Rattus norvegicus: one gene and its partner. The protein of the gene in region 1 purifies or fractionates together with the protein of each later gene. This does not show direct contact. Links are inferred from orthologs where the notes say so. Each region holds a gene or a part of one and is shown on either strand. Other genes may lie near its edges.

What was found. Proteins that work in one complex are often made in the same cells at the same time.
Region 2: the proteins of S100b (region 1) and Iqgap1 purify together in Homo sapiens (co-immunoprecipitation; 3 studies listed by BioGRID and IntAct, with this or other methods). This does not show direct contact. The link is inferred for Rattus norvegicus from reciprocal best matches to the Homo sapiens genes S100B and IQGAP1.

Annotation. Positions count from the first base shown.
Region 1 is NC_086038.1:12,371,194-12,375,960, reverse strand, and holds the end of S100b (protein S100-B), read left to right. Parts: intron 1-2,387; coding exon 2,388-2,528; 3' UTR 2,529-3,613; downstream 3,614-4,767. UniProt on the Homo sapiens protein: Small zinc- and- and calcium-binding protein that is highly expressed in astrocytes and constitutes one of the most abundant soluble proteins in brain.
Region 2 is NC_086019.1:144,105,128-144,110,277, reverse strand, and holds part of Iqgap1 (ras GTPase-activating-like protein IQGAP1), read left to right. Parts: intron 1-3,193; coding exon 3,194-3,334; intron 3,335-3,422; coding exon 3,423-3,507; intron 3,508-3,874; coding exon of another isoform or gene 3,875-3,895; exon of another isoform or gene 3,896-3,922; intron 3,923-4,488; coding exon 4,489-4,721; intron 4,722-5,150. UniProt on the Homo sapiens protein: Plays a crucial role in regulating the dynamics and assembly of the actin cytoskeleton.

The DNA.
Region 1 (4,767 bases):
GGAGGCTTAGCAGGTAAACACACCTGACCCTGATGATCTGTGTTTGAGTCCTACATGGCAGGAGAGAACCAATTCCACACGTGTACTACGGTATGAGAGTATGTAGGTACCTGCGTGCACACACACACACACACACACACACACACACACACACACACACACTTTTTTTTTTTTAAAGCATGAGACGTTTGGGGGGCAGGGAAGAAATCTTTTCACTTTGTCTAGCTGTCTGGTACCTCCTACAAAGAAATACCAGAGGTTAAATAAACATTGACTGATCACTCGATAATTCAATATTTGAGATACACGGGCTCGCAAAACATCCAAGCTAGCATAAACCACAAGGGAATAGTTGCCTGAGGGGAACAGGAGGCTCCCCGGGGTATATGACATTGGCTGGGCCTAAGTTTAGTTTGGAGTCCTAGGAAGCTGCTGCAGGATCCCTGACAGGCTGTTTTTCTCTGGGCACTTAATATTCTAGTAGTGAAAACATTCGCTTCCTGACCCACTGTCTCCTCTGCCCTTGAGCGGGTCTACTGCTCGCAAACCAAGTGCTCTCGTGGAGGTGAACTGTAATCCTTCTGTCACCCAGTGCTCCCTCAGTCCCCTAGACCAATGCTCGAGGCACACCTATAGTGATATGGAAATGCTGTCGGTGCTCAAGGAATGCGTCCTGCCACAGAGAGCACCCCCTTGGGCCACAGAAGTAGCCAAGCACACAGACAGAGGAAAACTAGTCAGTGTTTGATCAAGTGCCGAGTCTGGGTCTGACTCCCGGGCACGGCCATTTCACGTGGTACAGGTAACCATACTCCGAGTTAACTGGGTAGGTTGATACTCACTGAGCAGGCCTTCCTTGTGGGCTTGCTGGAGAAGATTTCAAGTGGGCTTTTGGGGATCAATTCCTAAGACATTCAGATACTGGGTAACAGGGACTCAGGAACAGGATGCATAACTAGTTATAGCCCCCCCACACTCTGCCTTTTGACTTAATCTCTTCATGTTTGAAGAAGAGTATGCAGGGACACGGTGAGCATGTCAAGCTCCTCACGGTTAGGGAAAGCACAGCTGATAAGAGCTTAAGATCCTCGCTACTCCCCTGATTGACGACAGGAAAAAAAAAATAGCCGGTAATGGCCCATTTATCAATGATAACTCATGTAAGTTATCAAAGTATCTCACCTGTTTGCTGGCCTGGTTCAACAGAAGCCTTGGAGAAAATCAACTTGAAAGAGGGAAGGTTTATTGATTTATTTGGTTGGTTTTGTTTTCCAAGACAGGGTTTCTCTGCGTAGCCCTGGCTGTCCTGGAACTCACTCTGTAGACCAGGCTGGCATCGGAGTCAGAGATCCGCCTGCCTCTGCCTCCTTAGTGCTGGGATTATTGGCATGCACCACCATGGCCAGACAAGGACGATTTATTTGGGCTCATGATTTCGGTGCACAGTTGTCAGGCTTCACTGTTTGGGGGCCTTGGATGAGGCAGACCAACCCACTGAGGAGCAAAGAAATGAAGGGGCGTGGCCCAATGATGCAGCTTCCTCCCACTTTGCCTACCTCCCAAAGGCTCTATCATCTCCCCGTGGTGCCACAGGTTGGCACCAGGCCTCCTACATAAGCCTCTGGAGGCCATGTAGGTTCGAAATCAAGGCACCTATGTTGTAACTGGGAGAACGACACTGTTCCCATCTCTCTCAGGAGATGTTTTAACAGCCTCCAGTGCGCCTCTGGGAATCACCATCTTTTCCAGGGGAATGTTTGTATTTAGGGAAACAGTTAGGCTTCCCTACATAGCTCTCCTGTCAGGGAGGTGGGGTAGGGGATAGGTATTAACTCAAGCAGGCTGTACTAAGAGTCTTGGCTCAGAGCCTGCATTCTTCCCACCGGGTTTCAGGCCCGCACAGTTGGGGCATCAGTTAGGAGTAGCCTTACCATTCACTTGGCTTTGGCATCAGAACTGTCAGGGGGGAAGCCTACGACGCTAGGAAGCTACTCATGAAGAGAAAACTCTGACACGCTCCCAAGTGGTATTTTAGTGAATGTTAGGATCCATGTAGCTCCCAAACACATGGACACTCAGAAGCGCTGAGCTCATGTCTCTCAAGTCACTAGCCCAGTCTGAGCCAGGCTTCACACACATTCACGGGGCAGTCTGTTACTCCTTCACCTTTCCCCCCATTTTGAAGTAATCCAGGCCAAAGGGAAGAGAACAGACCGCTCCCCCCACCCCTTACCCGTGGCTGACTGTCCATGCTCACAAGGGGCTGTTAGGATTCTTCATTTCCTGTACCGGGATCGTTTCTGACGCAAATCAAACCAGCCTGGCACTTTTAATAGCACTCTGACGGCTCCGGTTTAAATCGTCTCCTCTCTCTCTCTCTCTCTTAGGAAATCAAAGAGCAGGAAGTGGTGGACAAAGTGATGGAGACGCTGGACGAAGATGGGGATGGGGAGTGTGACTTCCAGGAGTTTATGGCCTTCGTCTCCATGGTGACCACAGCCTGTCATGAGTTCTTTGAACATGAGTGAGACAAAAAAAAAAAAGTGGCTGAGCCGTTTCCCCGTGGCAGACATGAGGGCCACGAGAGGAGGCACGGCAGAAGGCTCGTGGGCTGGAAGGAGCTGCGCTCTCTAGACGCATATAACTAATTAGGAAGCTTGATTTGCTTCAGGGATGAAACTCTGACCCCGTTCCCAAGGGCTGCTTTAAGTTAGCACATCGTTTCTGCTACACTAGGTATTCCTGTGAGCTGAATGGTCCCGGGAACTATTGATAAGAGTCACTGAGGGGACGAAATCAACACTCTGTGGGTATAGCACTGGTTGTAGACCACCATGCTCCTGTGGAAGGGTCACCTGTAAGAATCAAGGCAGACTACCAATAGCACCTCCGTTGGACAGCTTTCTTAGGTGTAATGTATGCTGTCCATGCATCTACAGACCCACAGCTGGATCCACTGCCACCCGAAGAGGTTGGCTCGCCCTTACAACTGCTTGTCCTCTGTGCAAACGATGCCCCGGAAAGTTAGACCTATCACCCACACCCTCCCACCACCCCCAGCCCAAAAGGACAGCCCACTCAAGTCTCTTCTTCCACAGTGAACCGTGGTTTGTTACTAAGTACGTATTTGACACCAACAGTTCTAACTGGTGGAACGATTAGATCTCGCACACTAAGTATTAGCATCCTAACTCACGACCGAGAATCAAAATTCTGCTCAGTAGACGTCTCCTTTCAGGATGACACCATTGTCCCCATAGGACACGGACAGAGGAGGGCACTGGAGAGAGTGTCAGGTCTTTTTCTAGCTGTATCTTCCTCTCTCCCTCTGCTGCCCATAATGTGAGTGACCCTCTAGGGTGAGACTTGCAGGGTGAGCTGCTGAGGAATGAAGGGCCACTGAGATGTGTCCTTTAGCTGCTGGGTGTCATGTCTGACCTGCTGGTGCCTAGGGCCTGCTTAACACTCGGCAAGGCTGCGAGCCGAGGACTGTGGGAAGCCGGACTTGATGCTTTCTAACCTGCATATTTGAATGCCGAAGGTTCAAACAATCCAAGTTACAGATAAATAAAAACCGCATTGCAAGTATTAAAAAGCCATTCTAGGAAAATTCTAATTGCTCTCACCCACCTCTTTTTTTAGTACTGTTATTTATTATTTATTATTTTTTTTTAGGAGTCGAGACTTAGAAGTTCATTAAGACAACTGAACAATGCCCTTGGGTAAAATAAAAACTGTTAACAATTCTCCATCACCACTGAAGAAATAAAAATCACCCACCCTTAAGAGCCCAAGGGTGAGGGTTGGGGATTTAGCTCAGTGGTAGAGCGCTTGCCTAGCAAGTGCAAGGCCCTGGGTTCGGTCCCCAGCTCCGGAAAAAAAAAAAAAAGAGCCCAAGGGTGGGTGAAAGGCAGCTAGAACTCTAGAACTTCGGGAGGCTCTTCAACGGTCAAAGGCTGCACAGAATCAGATCGCCCCATGACCAGAGACTATGATGTGGCTCTGACAGGCAATTTTCTGCCCTGGCTGGATCACCTGTTAGCTTTCTTACCACTGTGACAGAATTCCCGACTTAACGGAAGAAGAATAAATATTTGTTTAGCTCCTGCTTTTGGAGGTTCATCATAGAGGGAAGGACATGGTGGTGGAGGTCACACCGGGGCAGGTAGGAAGTAGATTGAAAAGGACAGGAGACTGGTACACCTTTCAAGGCCTGCCCCAGCAACCTACTCCTAGTTAGCCCTCCTGGAGACCAAGGGGCCTACCACATGGAGCTATGAAGAACGGTGAGAGAGTTCAGGGCAGCACTGAAGACCAGAACCTGGCAATGCATGGGGCTGGGGGCACATGGAAGGCACTGTGGGGGACCAGAGCTGCCGAGGGCTATCTACAGGGGCTCCCTGAGTCCTCTTGTCCCCAGCCTCATAGGGACAAGTTTTGACACATGGTCACAGTTTTGACACATGGTCAGGATATCTGCCTTGCCACGCCTCCTGAACCCCTCTAGGAAGGCAGCTGTGGTGACTGACGGGAGGTTCTTGCCCGTGAGACTAGAGCTCGACAGGAATTTCATACCAATGAAAGCTCCCTTGCTATATGTTGTCCCCGCCCCAAGTGATACTTTATTTGCTGGGTGTGGGCAGGGCACCAGGTCCTGCCCTCTGGTGAGCGGGGCTCCTGAGCCAACCCTGCTGAGAAGCTGCACTCTCAGCCTGGCCCTCTCTGGAGAGGTGCTCTGTGGTGGCCGATCTTCTCCAAACGACATGA
Region 2 (5,150 bases), on another chromosome or scaffold:
GTGAGGCATGGATAGCATAGCCCTACAGGTAAGGCTCTTCCTGTGTGATTCTGGAGAACTGAATTTCATCTCCAGAGTCCACATAAACGTGAGGAGAACCATCACCTCCGATGATGATGATGATGATAACTATAATAGTAATTGAAGCAGATTTATTGAAGCCTTACTCCTTCATAGCTTATTGGGGAACAGAGACAACAAACAGATAAATAAAAATTACATCCATGGAAAGGCTTTAAAACTTTTGTAAGGTATTCTACCAGAGTACAGGAGAGTGCTAATGTTGACAGGCAGTTAGGGAAACCATCCGCTGAGGTGGGACTTTTTTGGGGGAATGCCCTGCTGCAGAGGGCCTAGCACTTGAAAAGACCCGGCTGTAACTGGAGCAGTTGGATGGGAAGGGCTGTGTATTTGGGATCAGGAGGAAAAGATGTGGGTAGGGTGAACCATGATCTGTGCCTGGGTAGAGCTTAACCAGGAATACATTAGTTATGGGAGATGAGTCGGCCATAGTGAACTCTATCTACCACAGACAGACAGACAGACAGACAGACAACAAAGGCATGTCAGTCAATCAAATTTGGTAAAGCCAGGAAAACAAAAGTTCAGAGAGCCATGCTGCTGCTCTTGCTGTTACTCAGGTTGGGGAGGACCCAGAGACTAGATGTGTGGGACTCCGGTGCACCAGGGCGGGTTAGATGGCAGGAAGCGTGCTGGGTAGCTTTCGCACCACTTGCCATTCGATGACATGGTGGTGCATGCGTGTAAAGCCAGCATTGTGGAGGATGGGGCAGATATTCAGAATGAGCGAGACCCTCTCTCAGCCAAACCAAACCAAACCAAAAAATGTGTCACTGTAGATGAGTCACGAAGTGTTCTGAAGCGTTAAGACACACCATTGAGTTGAGTGTTCTGTAGTCTTAACACTGGGAGTCTGATCTTTTCTGGGCATCGTGGAAACTTTTCTGTGTTTTTGGTTTTTTTTTTTTTTTTCCTGTGCTGGGACTTGAACACTCAGCTCAGCTCTCAGCTCCACCACCTGCCTCTGCTCACTGCCTTTGTCTGTCTGGGAAGTGTGGCCTGTCACCCAGGCCATTCTTAGATAGCGGCCCCATGAACACTGCTCAAGGTCACTAAGTCAATCGGTCATTTACAAATCTGAATTCTACTAGCCAGTTCAGTAGTTTTTTCTTGTTAGTGTCTGTAAGAAAGTAGTGTTTCCTGATTTTCACAAAATGGAAACTGATGCTTTTTTTTTTTGGTTCTTTTTTTCGGAGCTGGGGACCAAACCCAGGGCCTTGCGCTTCCTAGGTAAACGCTCTACCACTGAGCTAAATCCCCAGCCCCCTGATGCTTTTTTAATTCCAGTACCTGTGAGGTATGTGAAGCCACCTGACATATAATCATCATAGGTCCCCACTTTTCCCTTCTCCTTAGCCTCCCCACACAGTACTTAATCATATATTACAAATACCGTCCTGGATCTCATTCAGCATGCTAGGACAGTCATGCCCCTGTCTGCTTATCTCAGTTTACCATGGTGACCATACCCAACTCGCCACACGCTGGTAGCTGGAGCGGATGAAGTTTATCAAAATCCTTGAAGTAGCAATCACGGGGCTCAATCAAGATGCCAGCAAGGAACATCTGTTCCTTGGCTTCTTCAATTTCTGGTGGCCTTTGGCCCTGATTGGCTTGTGGCCCTGTGATTGTAGTCTCTGCCTCCCTGGTTGCCTCTGCTCCCCTCTGTATACTAAATCTCCCTGTCTCTCTTACTAGGTCACCTACTTTATATTTAGGGAGCACTTGGATAATCTATGAAAATCAGTGCTCCTTTTTTAACCTTGAAAATACCAGAAACCTCCCTGTATTTCTTTTTATCTTTCAGCTCCTTGTCTTTATTTCCTTCTTGTTACATGTAGGCCCATGTTGTAGCACATCTGCCATTCCTATGCCAATCTGTCTGTCTCTGTCTGTCTGTCTGTCTCTCTCTTCCTTCCTCCCTCCCTGCGTCCCTCCCTCTCTTTCCTTTTGGACAAGTCCTTCTGTATTCCAGTCTGGCCTTAAATACCCTGTGTACCTGAAGATGACTTTGAACTCAGATCCTTCGCCTCCGCCTCCCAAGTATGAATTGTAGAGTCTGATTTATGTGCTGTTGAGGATTTAATCCAGGGCTTGTGTGTGCTAGACAGACAAGTCTGTCGTCTGGCCTGCACCCCCAGCCTTGTTTGACTAGCCCAGTGCCTCAGCTCCTGTGTCTGTCTGTCTCCCCTGACGTGGAAAGGTGCCATGTCCTTGGCTGTGCTGTCTCTTCAGTGCCTGTGGGTCTTCCTGGTCTGCACTGTTGCCCCTTCGTCGTTGTTCATACTCATTGTCTCTGGGTCAAGCTGAAACACTGCTTTCCCACATCTCCCATCTGTGTCTGTCTGTCCATCTTTATTTTTACAGTGAGCCTGGGTGGTCTTTCTGCTTAAAATGTGTGTGTCTGTATGTCTGTATGTCTGAGTGTGTGTGTGTGTGTGTGTGTGTGTGTCTGTGTCTGTGTCTGTGTGTGTGCGTGTGTGTGTGTCTGTGTGTATGTGTGTGTGTGTGCGTGTGTGTGTGTCTGTGTGTGTCTGTGTGTCTGTGTGTGTCTGTGTGTCTGTGTGTCTGTGTGTGTCTGTGTTAGGGGAAAGGGAGCATGTGGAGGTCAGAGGATAACTTTGTGAAGCTGGTTTTCTCTGTCCACGTTTCTGTGTGGTCTGGCTGTGAGGGAGCCTTCCTTCCTTTCTCCATTCTGAGTAGAGGCTCCTCCTGTGATCTGCAGATCAGCCTACTGCTCAGAAGCGTTGTTCTTCTTCATTGCTGGTGGTTAACCTGGGGTCATGGGTACACCAGGCCAGCGCTACATCACTGAGCTAACCTCTAGCCCATATAGGGTGTTTATGATTACCTGCTGTGAGACTCAAGAGAAGATCCGATGGCTTCCATTTGTTTGTGGCTAAGTGCTTATCAGGGCGTGTGACACATGACATGCGGCATCCAGCTCACAGCTGAGAACCCAGACTCAGATTCTAGCCTCGCTTTACCAGCCTGTGCAGAGGAGCCTAAGTTAGCTAAGCTTTCTGGGTCTATTTGCAAAAGACAAGTTCCTGCCCCTAACTATTCCCGGGGGTTTGTCTAACATTGCTGGGGATCGTCTCTGTTTTCTCAGCAAACTGCCTTATGATGTGACCCCTGAGCAAGCCTTGTCTCATGAAGAAGTGAAGACGAGGTTAGACAACTCCATCAGGAACATGAGGGCTGTGACAGACAAGTTCCTTTCAGCCATCGTCAGCTCTGTGGACAAAATCCCGTAAGTGCCAGCAGTTGTGACCCCAGATAATGCCTGGTTGGTGGTGCCCCCTGCGGCCTGACCTTACTCTGTTTTGTCTGTCCCCCAGTTACGGGATGCGCTTCATTGCCAAAGTGCTGAAGGACTCTTTGCACGAGAAGTTCCCGGATGCTGCCGAGGACGAGCTGCTGAAGGTAGGAAGCGGAAAATGGCGGGTTCCTCCCTTCAGTGTCAGCCCCCAGTGACCACAGACCAGCAGAACGGGCCTGAGTTCTCCACTGTGAGCCTCCAAAGCAGTCATAACTAGGAGGCAGTGGTCCTTCTCAGCAGACAGTCTCTATTCATCTTTAAAGGCCCAAGTGTACCAAGTCTAGTAGGCAGTGGGAAGTTCGGAGTCCTCTTTTCTCTGGAGCATTGCGCCCTCTCCTGGTGGCCAGGTGAATAGCAGCAAGCACAGGGCTCTGCTGAGGCTCTGCTAATTCTTCTTGCTCCGCTGTACTCCCTTCTACTCGTGTTTTTACTACCTTTTAAATCTGAACACTTTTCTCTTCTCTCTCCTAGTTCTGTGCTTTCCTACAGTGAGGCCTCGATTCTAGACTTTCTGTCCAGGTGAATTAATTTTATTTTTTTCTGGAACTCTAGGGGAGATGCCATGATTGTCCTTTCGTTCTCCTGTGGAAGACGTGTGTTGAGTGAATCTCATTTCAGAGGCATGAACGTGGCCTTTGCAGTCTGTGGCATGTGGATGGTGGGGTTTAGACAGATGGCATTGTGCTAACTAGGTCATCTTAAGGACTTACTTTCACCGTGCTCTATGGCTTCCTAAAAACCCACCTACAAAACCCACAAAGGTGTTTGACATCAGCCTGAGCTGCTGCTATAACATGAACAGAAGGTGTCCTGGCGTGTTGAGTCACACACCTTAAATGCTACTTATATATTCTAAGTCTACTCCTCTACTCGTCTCTGGGACCAGTTTCAGTCCCCTTATCCTCCCTACACACATCCATTTGAGGTTTAGGTCTTAAAGGAAAGTGTATGTGCATGTATGCATGTTGGTGTGTGTCTCTTGTTGACCTTCCTCATAGGACTGCATTTTCTCATTTTCATTGCTAGCAAAGTCCCACATGGCGTCCTCAGTGGTCTGGTCTTTAACGCCCAGGCTTCTATTTCAGATTATTGGTAACCTGCTTTACTACCGATACATGAACCCGGCCATCGTTGCTCCTGATGCCTTCGACATTATTGACCTGTCAGCAGGAGGCCAGCTCACCACAGACCAGCGTAGAAATCTGGGCTCCATTGCAAAGATGCTGCAGCACGCGGCTTCCAACAAGATGTTTCTGGGTGATAATGCTCACCTAAGCATCATTAATGAATATCTCTCTCAGTCCTACCAGAAATTCAGGTAAGGGACAACGTGGATGACTCCAAAGAGTCCGTGGGCATGTTTTCATCTGAGTGAAAAGGCAAGGTTTACCATTTCCCTCACTTCTCCAGCTCCTGAGTTGCAGGATGTGTGTGTGTGTGTGTGTGTGTGAGAGAGAGAGAGAGAGAGAGAGAGAGAGAGAGAGAGAGAGAGTGTGTGTGTGTGTGTGTGTGTGTGTGTGTGTGTGTATGTGTGTGTGTGTGTGTAAGGCTCAAGGGCTCCAGAAATGGATGCAGGCATCATAAAGATTTTCATATGCAATAGTATTTAATATATAAGGAGTGTCTATGCATTAAGCCATGCTCACTCTAATCAAGAGAAGAATTGCAGAGTGCTTTTGACATTTAGAAATTACCACTTACTTTTGAGTGCAGTGCCTGGAGCAGTTCCTGAGAGGTAAAGCGCACA